Linked DNA regions of Oryctolagus cuniculus. The protein of the gene in region 1 binds, or shares a complex with, the protein of each later gene. Links are inferred from orthologs where the notes say so. Each region holds a gene or a part of one and is shown in the gene's direction. Other genes may lie near its edges.

Evidence for each region. Proteins that work in one complex are often made in the same cells at the same time.
Region 2: CYFIP1 (region 1) and ABI1 share a complex: the UniProt entries of both Homo sapiens proteins name them as parts of the WAVE2 complex. The link is inferred for Oryctolagus cuniculus from reciprocal best matches to the Homo sapiens genes CYFIP1 and ABI1.

Annotation. Positions count from the first base shown.
Region 1 is NC_091443.1:17,574,418-17,579,131, reverse strand, and holds part of CYFIP1 (cytoplasmic FMR1-interacting protein 1), read left to right. Parts: intron 1-1,405; coding exon 1,406-1,502; intron 1,503-1,594; coding exon 1,595-1,723; intron 1,724-3,702; coding exon 3,703-3,807; intron 3,808-4,714. UniProt on the Homo sapiens protein: Component of the CYFIP1-EIF4E-FMR1 complex which binds to the mRNA cap and mediates translational repression. In the CYFIP1-EIF4E-FMR1 complex this subunit is an adapter between EIF4E and FMR1.
Region 2 is NC_091444.1:103,361,861-103,366,574, forward strand, and holds part of ABI1 (abl interactor 1), read left to right. Parts: intron 1-2,768; coding exon 2,769-2,783; intron 2,784-3,502; coding exon 3,503-3,603; intron 3,604-4,685; coding exon 4,686-4,714. UniProt on the Homo sapiens protein: May act in negative regulation of cell growth and transformation by interacting with nonreceptor tyrosine kinases ABL1 and/or ABL2. May play a role in regulation of EGF-induced Erk pathway activation. Involved in cytoskeletal reorganization and EGFR signaling.

The DNA of each region.
Region 1 (4,714 bases):
ACTTGCCCAGACAGCAATCCCCACTCCTCCCTTGCCCCCACACCCGCAAGTGCATCTCTCCCTTTGGCACCCAGCTGGGAGCTACCAGTACCATGGCTTCTGGGCATGGATGCCAGGTAAGCCATTTGATGATGGTGAGGGAAGAGAAAATGGCATTGTGGATCCCTTCCTTCGACATACTGCCTGCCCCAGCAGCGACTTCAGTCAGTAAACTGAACGTGTTTAAAGAGGCAACGAGTGTCACTATATCAGTTACTATTAGGTATAACTACATGTAATTTTTAAGAGCTCACGGGAAGGACAGTGGTTTGGAGAAGGTGCGGTTTGTGTTTCCCTTCCCTGAAAAGTCCCCAGTTAGATCATCTGCAGCTCACGATGGGGCCATGGGGGGCGGGACCCAGGACTCCTGCAGCTTTACTGTCATCCTGCCCCGCTTCGTGGTCCAAGACGAGTGTTTGAGCTCCAGCTGTTACTTCTGCACTCCAGTCACCAGGGAAGAAGGAGTGAAGGCAGCCCCTGCTCTTCCTTATAAGTACATTTTAAAGTGCTTTTCAGGGTTTTGCATTGTATCTCCTGGGCCTGCCGCTGGTCATGTGGTCGCAGCTTATGCTGCACGGGAGATGAGGTGTGTTGCTGCTCTACAGGAATTCGGGACTTGTTGCTAAGGAGGAAGGGGGTGAAGTGAGCGTTGGGTAGGTTATCAGACCTGGCCGTGGGCACTCTGCTTCAGTTAATACACCAGGCCTCGAGGCTGTGCGGTCATATCTTTATGGGGCAGTTTCCTGTACCCTTCCTTGGGAGACAGCCCTGGGTGTGCAGAACCCTCACTCTATCCTGCGGGGACCTCACAGACTCAGCGTATGCCTTGCGGTATTCTTGGACCTCACTGTAGGGTCCTTGGGTGGGTGTCAGGGTAGATTACTGCAGATTGGTAGCAGAGCCACGACTGGTGACTTGGGGCCTCACTGGTCCCTAGGGTGACACGCCAGAGACAGGTGTTCTTGTCGGGAGGCATGGTGGCCCAGAGTTTTCCCAGCAAAGAACCCCAGGGTGCCCTGTGGCCTCGTTGCATGGCTTTGGGACATCACTGAGCAGAGCAGCCCTTTGGGCTTCGGGCAGCCACAGGGAGAAAGTGCAGGGGCCTGGTGGGGAGGTCCCTCAGCTGTGGACAGCAGGGTGGTAAGTCCTCCAGAGTTGTATATATCGCATCTGTGTTGGCAAAAGAGTGACCTAGAGTCCAGGTCAGGAGTTGCTTAAGGAGGTGAACTCATAACCAGCTTGCAAGATCCACATTTCTGCAGATAACTGCAAGGGGCGGGGAGGACAGGAATCCTCATTTTCCCAGGCATTTTGGAAAATCAGTACATCGGTGCACGTTGGGATTAATTCTTTCTTATTTTCAAAGGGCTGCTCAGTTTTTACGTAAAATGGCAGATCCACAGTCCATCCAGGAGTCTCAGAATCTGTCCATGTTCCTGGCAAACCACAACAAGATCACGCAAGTAAGGCCTGCCTTCCCACCGCACTGCGCGGGAGCTGTCCCCGGCAGGGCTGGGAGCAGCTGATGGCACGGCTCTCCCGCTCTGTGTTTCAGTCTCTGCAGCAGCAGCTCGAAGTCATTTCTGGCTACGAAGAGCTCTTGGCAGACATCGTGAATCTGTGCGTGGATTACTACGAGAACAGGATGTACTTGACGCCCAGCGAGAAACACATGCTTCTCAAAGTACGTGTGTGGGGCTGGCAGCCCCCAGCAGCGCCGAGGCACCAGCTTCCACAAAGACTACGCTTCCTCCAGAGTCCTTTCTCATGCTGTTGTGGACACGGGCAGCATCCTGGTCCCCCTGCAGGCTCTTGGCATGTCCCATGAGCGTGTCCCAGTGAACTACACGCTGACCTTAGGAAAGGGTTGTCACGGGCCAGGCGGTCCTGGGTCACAGGTTCTTCTACTTGTGCCTTGGTGTCCTCGAGGGATTGATTCTAGGAGCCTCCACCCCGAAGTTCCCCCATCTTCCCACCATTGATAACAAAATTCATGGGCCACAAGTCCCTTATATAAAATGACATAGTATTTTCACAGAACCTATATACATCCTCCCATATACTTTATTTTATTTTAAAGATTTATTTATTTATGTGAACAGCAGAGTTACAAAGAGAGAGGAAGATAATCTGCTGGTTCAGTCCCCAAATGGCCACAAAAGCCAGAGCTGAGCCAGGCTGAAGCCAGGAGCTTCATCAGGGTCTCCCCCATGGATGCAGGGTCATCCTCTGCTGCCTTCCCAGGCAACATTAGCAGGAGGCTGGAGCAGAAGTGTAGCAGCTGGGACTTGAATCAGTGTCCACATGGAATGCTGGCTCTGTAGGTGGTGGCTTCAACCGCTGTGCCACAGCACCAGCCTCCCATATACTTTTTACAGTGTGAATAGTTACTATACTGTGTTCTTCAGGGAAAAATGACAAGAAAAGAAGGCATGTAGCTGTTTAGTAGAGATGTATTTGTTTTTTAATATTTTTAAGCCATGGTTGGTTGAATTCTTGGATGTAGACGCTGTGGCCCTAGATAGCTAGCTGTATATTGTTGTACCTTAATTACAGTGGATTTTGCCTGGTTCACCCTATTTACATTTGTTACGTTTCAAATTGGGGTTTTCAGTTGCATTTCTCATTGGAAAAATGAGAAGTCTGCTCTGCTGTTCCCTCTGCTCCAAGCTGTCCCTCTGCACAGGATGACCCTGGGAAACCTGCTGCTGCGAGTCCCACCCATCCAGCCTCCCACCTTTTCCTGGTGCAGGAAGCCCCGGGAAGTGGTCAGGGCTGCAACAGCGCCACCCATTGGAGTTCGCAGGGATGGCAGAGGTGTTGTATCTGTGCCAGCTGATGCAGGAGCCCTAGTCATGAGCCCCTAAGGAGCAACTGAGATGGGCATTGGCTGGTGCCACATTAAACATTTTCCATACCTATGCATTGAAACTTACTTACATGTAGCCACCTTTTGGACCCGATAGTTCTAGAATATCCTGCTGTACAGGTTAGTCTAGTAGAGGATTTGCTTTTTCAGCTTTTAGCAGCTGGCTTGGAACCTCAACAAACGTTTGTAACATGAAATCATGGGGGGCAATGCATTCGAAGCACCAGAGAAGCAGCCTAAAAATACATCTTTGTGAGACTGCTTTGGGGAACTGTCTGAGGATATAGAATATTCAGTGCAGTCTCTCTCTCTCTCTCCCTCCCTCCCTCCCTCCCTCCCCCCTCCCCCCCTCCCCCCTCCCCCTCCCCCCCACACCCCTGTTCCACCTTCAGTGTGAGCCGAGTTAGCACTGAGTGATGTTGAGTCACAGTGCTTGTCCAGTGTTCTAACCTGTGCACCTGCCACTGCTTATTAACACACTCATAGTGGGAGTGAAATTACTATTGAAAGACCACAAATGATGACAGTAGTTGCGAGCTGTCTCATAAATGTCAGCTTAAACTGTCCAAGTCTAGCACTGCCCTGAGCTTGAAGAGGGTTGGCTCTGGGATGTGTGCCTTGGGAGGAAGCTGAAATAACCAGAAAGGGTCCACATAAAGTGACAGCTTCGTGTGAGGGGAGAGCTATTCATTTCCTAGGAGCTTTTAGGAAAAGCAAGAGTGAATTGTGATGTACATTGTATGGGTAATTATATTTTCGGTCTGAGTGTTTTTGCACCATTTGTGGCTTTTCAGGTCATGGGATTTGGTCTGTACTTGATGGATGGAAGTGTCAGTAACATCTATAAACTAGATGCCAAGAAAAGAATTAACTTGTCCAAAATTGACAAGTACTTCAAGGTAAGTTTTTTTTTTAATATAAATGTTTTTATTGACATATTGTACAGTTTAAACTTTTGCAGAATGAATCCCTGTGCGACCATGATCCAGATCACAGAATATTGAGAAGGCAGGGAGGGCATCTTGGGGTTTCTCCTCCAGTCTGCAAAGGCTTCTTCCTGCATTGTTTTTACCTGGATTGAACTTGTACAAATGGAGTCAGGCTGTTTGTCATCTTATTGCCTCTCCCTGCATTTCCCCCAACTTTTGTTGGTGAGACAGAAACAGTTGTGGGAGTCTGAGGCTGTGGCTGTTACGTGTTCAGTGTGCCGTGGTCTTCTACTTCACCATCAAACGAGCTTACTTGTCCACTCTGTTTCTTGGTTCCTCCTGGTGCAGACAATGCAGCTGATTTGGTGTGGCTGCCATTGGATACAGACTAAGGAGAAGTGACAGGGGTCCTAGGGCACATGTCTTTTCAGTGTCAGTAGCCTAAGGACCTTCGAGGCTTACCTTTTTTTTTTTTTTTTTTTTAAGGTTTATTTTATTTATTTGAAAGGCAGAGTTGAGAGAGAGAGGGGGAGAGGAGGGAGGGAGAGATCTTCCCATCCACTGGTTTACTCCCCCAAATGGCTGCAATGGCAGGGGCTGGGCCAGGCAAAAGCCAGGATGTAGTACCTTCATCGGGGTCTCCTCCATGGGTGCAGGGGTCCAAGTACTTGGACCACCTTCCACTGCCCTCCCAGCTGTGTTAGCAAGGTGCTGGATAGGAAGGGGGGCAGCCGGGACTGAAACCAGTGCCTGTATAGCATGTTGGCATTGCAGGTGACGGTTTAACCCATTACACCACAATGCCAGTCCCCTGTGTTAGTTTCTAGAAGCATTGCTTCCTTTTTTTGTCTTGATCTACAGCAGTCATCCAGGAACT
Region 2 (4,714 bases), on another chromosome or scaffold:
CAGGTGGAGATTTAATATGCCACAACATCAACCCCTGTATGCTTGTGTTTAGACTTCAAAAAGGCCATGTGGTCTGGGAACTATGACATTTTATTAGTGATATCAGGGATATCAATGTTTTAGTTTTTTTTAATGGACTGTGATTATAGGACTGTGAGGGGAAGTCCAAGGAAGCAAGACAAAGAAAATATTTGATTGATTAGAGATGAGCTGGCAGTTTGTGATTGCCGAAGTCCCTACTTAAAGATTTGTTGGTGCTTTCTGATGGTTAAGTTTAAGCTTCACTTTCATTAAACAGTGGCGTGAGCTAATGGAATTATTTCAAACAAGGAATTGGCCTTCCTGATATTAGTACCTGTGGTGTGCAAGACTGTGATGTACTTGATAGAAGATAGGGAGGAATCCAGGAAAATTCTGTGTTCTCAACGTAAGATTCCAGGCAAATGGTAAAATTATTCACCTATTTATGTAAATATTAAGGAAAGGCAATGATTAAAAAAAAAAAAAAAGATTTGTGGGGCTGACGCTGTGGTGTAGCTGGTAAAGCTGCTGCCTACAGCACTGGCATCCCAAACAGGTGCCAGTTTAAATCCTGGCTGCTCTACTTCCAATCCAGCTCTCTACTATGGCCTGGGAAAGCAGTAGAAAATGGCCCAAATGCTTGGGCCCCTGCACCCACGTGGGAGACTCAGAAAGAAGCTCCTGGCTCCTGGCCTTGGATTGGCACAGCTGCAGTTGTTGACTGCCATTTGGGGAGTGATCCAGTGGATGGAAGCCCTTTCTCTCTCTCTCTCCAAGCCTTTGCATCTATGTATCTCTGCCTTTCAAATAAATAAATAAATCTTTAAAAAAATGTGTTCATTTGTTTGAAGGAGTGAATTGCTGGTAATTCCCCACATGGCTACAACAGCTGGAGGTAGAACAGGCTGAATCCATGAGCTAGCAGCTCCACCCAGGTTTCCTACCTGGGTGAAAGGGCCTAAGCACTTGAGCCATCTTCCACTGCTTTTCCAGGTGCATGAACAGGGAGCTAGAACTGAAGCAGAGCACCCAGGACTTGAACTATTGCTATGATATGGCCAGCATCACAAGTGGTAGCTTAACCTGCTGCACTGCAGTGCCAGCTCCTGAAGTGGTATCTTCAGAAAATTAAAGACAGCCTTGTTTTTGGTATATTTGGGGAAAGGTTTTACACTATGTTGAGCTGTAAGAGATTATTTCCTGCCAAACTTCCCAAACACATCTGCATACATGAATGTACTTAATATAGGAGGTCCAGGTGCATAAGAGGTTGAAGGTTGTCTTTATGTCGTAATTTACTTTCTTAATGGGGATGTGAAATGTAGTGGTTAGGTAGTTTCAGATCAAAGTGAACAATATATCATTTTAAAATCTCACATTTCTGGCACTGTTTCTGTAAATGAGAATGTATCTAAAAGAAAGAATTTCTTCCTTTAAGGTCATGTGAAAAATAATAGATACTTACTGAAATGGCAGATATTGTAAGAAGAACTTGAAACCCAAAACGTGTATTAAAAGTATTTTTTTCTTGTTTTTCTCAGTGACATAGTACAAATGGTGATGCCTTAAGACTGTAAACATTATTTGATATAGGTAGGCTAGTCAACTTTCATGGAAGTAACTTAGGAAATCAAAGCAGCTTTTTCTCCCTTTTGAATTTTGCCTAAACTGCTTTATCAGAAATCTTAAAATTGAAGTGACTTCCTGCTAGTGTGTTACCTGCTCAGGATTTCAGTTCATACACTGGAAATGAGAAGGCTTTCTAGACTCTCTTTATCCTGTTAGAACCCAGCTAAGCTGTTGCTGTCCATGAATTTTTTTTTTTTTTTTTTTTTTTTTTTTTTTTTTTTGACAGGCAGAGTTAGACAGTGAGAGAGAGAGACAGAGAGAAAGGTCTTCCTTCCGTTGGTTTACCCCAAATGGCCACTTCGGCTGGTGCACTGCGCTGATCCGAAGCCAGGAGCCAGGTGTTTCTCCTGGTCTCCCATGTGGGTGCAGGGCCCAAGCACTTGGGCTATCCTCTACTGCCTTCCCGGGCCACAGCAGAGAGCTGGACTGGAAGAGGAGTGACCGGGACAGAATCCAGTGCCCCAACTGGGACTAGAACTCAGGGTGTTGGCGCTGCAGGCGGAGGATTAGCCAAGTGAGCCGTGGCGCCGGCCGGTAATTTCATTTTTAAGCACCAAGGTGCTATATCCTTTTCTGACTTTGGAAGCAACTGTGATTTTGAATTTTAGTATTTGTTCTGTCAAAGCAAGTCCTGTGGCTTTGACTTTTAAGATTTGCAGTTTTATCATCTTGTAGAATATTGTACAACTGCTCAAATAATAAATACTCATACTTGGGCATTCATTATACAATAAAATTACAGCTCTTGTGCAATGATGTATTAAAATAGCTTTACATCTAATATGTTAGGGTATTTGTGTTTCCATGATTTATTTATTTTTCTCTGTGATTCAAATGAGTTAGGATGAGATACTCACCTAAGAAATCATTGGGCCTGAATGAGACTGGAATAATAAAGTGGTTGTTACCTTATGAATGTTTATTTTGAAAAATACGTGAAACAAACGAATATGTCCCAGTGCTAATAGATATACTTTTCTATAAAAAATATTGGAAATATGGCTAGGAAAAAGCTTAATTAAGTGAATTGAATAACTGTAAATGTAAACATTTCCTATTAGATAAACTTTGTAGAATTAATTGTTACTTTTTCCCCCTCTTTTTTTGCCAACGTAAAGTGGCTAAAAGCCAAGGTAAGAGACATTACTTATCGTTTGATCCACAGTATTCCCTCTATATTGATAGAGGCTGCAGAGCCACTAAAATTTGAAAACTCTTCTTATGTCTGTCTGCTTTTCCCTGTAGGATTTATGTAGATTAAATATATTTAAGCTCAGTTTAAATCAGCAACATTTAGCTTGGCTGTGTTAATATATCAAAGATATATTGACATTTGCATTTATATAGGAACATTAATTTTGCTAACATTATTGCTTTGCTCATTTGTTGATAGTTGCCTTGCTTTCATTGACTTACATTTAGGAGGTTTCCCAGACATCGTATGTGACTTTGTTACTGAATTGTTAGAATAAAGTTAATTTTTTGGGTGAGCATTTTGGCAAATTGATGATGAGATCTGTTCATGCACCCATTTCAAATATTGTAGGAAATATTTGAATCTAGATAAGTATGAGCTCAGTGACCATGTTTCACAATAAATTAATATATAAAATCAGTAATCTTATCTGTAGTTTGCCATACATTGGTATAAAAGGCACACACACACAGAAAAAGAAAAACAGTGCAAGTGGTTCCTTGACTTTTAAAAATGTGGTACCAAAGTCTTCATTCAAACTGTCTGGGAATCCTTACTTTACATTCTGATATTAAAAAAAAAATAAAAAAACATGGTGTTAAAACACCAAGAGAACAATTTGATATAAAAATAAAAGCTCTTCTTTCCATATTTTAGCATGGAAATAACCAGCCTGCAAGAACTGGCACATTGTCGAGAACAAATCCTCCTACTCAGAAACCACCAAGTCCTCCCATGTCAGGCCGGGGCACGTTGGGGTAAGAGTTCAGCTACATTGTACAAAAGAACTCCTGTTAAAGGAAAGATGTCTCTGTGATTTAAGTAAATGTATGGATCCTTGCCATCGAATACTCTGTATGATACACCTGTTACAGATTCATTTTATTTCTTATTTCCCTGAACCAAATCCAAAGTGAATTTGCTTGCTTTATAATATTCTCTGTAGATGGCTATACTAAACATATATTTCCATGTGTATATAAATGATCATTATTTTTTGTTTACTAATTTTTTAAAAAATATAGGCCTGACAGTTTATTTCAGGGCAGTTCCATGTGGTAACTAGACTTCAGATGTATGTGCAGGATCTACATGTCAGAACTGTGGCTGGTCTGGGTGGTATAGTTTGCCATAGTGCTCTGGAGCTTTCTTGTCTCCTGTATTGCCTGGCACCTGAGGTTTAGGGACTGTCTGCCTGGAAAACGTCTAACTGTGCTGTTGCTGGTGGGCATAGGTCCCTTTATAATAGAGTAGCTCTGTGGGAAGGTAACAGCCGACGACTTCTTCCTTCCCATGTCTCAGTATAACTAAATACATTGAATATTTGCCAAGATATTTCTGAAAGATTGTCCATTTTAACAGAGGAAATGGTATGTTAAATTTGTTTCTGGTAGAGAGGTTGATAAAACACAACTTTTTTTTTGAAGATTTGGTTTCCATTTTCATTCTTTAAGCCCTCTGCCCCTAAAAAAATATGAGGTTACCAAACAAAAATAAAAATCATCTACTGACAATTAGTCACATTACATCTAGCATCAGAATGTACTTCTCCATGTAGTTCCCTACTGAGGTAGGAATAAATTGCAAAGGAGATATTTATCTTCCTATGTATAGGACAGGGCCTTTGGGTTACTGAGCTGGGAATAAATGTACATTTCAAAAGACTGAAATTTTAAATTTCCCTTTCCTATGGTTTTTGTGTTAAAGTAACAAAATTAGTATACCCCAGTTAAATAAATGTTATATTATGTTTGATCACAAAGGGACAATCACAGATTTGAGGGGAAAATACTGTTTTACTATTTTATTTATTTTTCCTTTCTTCATTATGCTTCTTTAGACGGAATACTCCGTATAAAACCCTGGAAC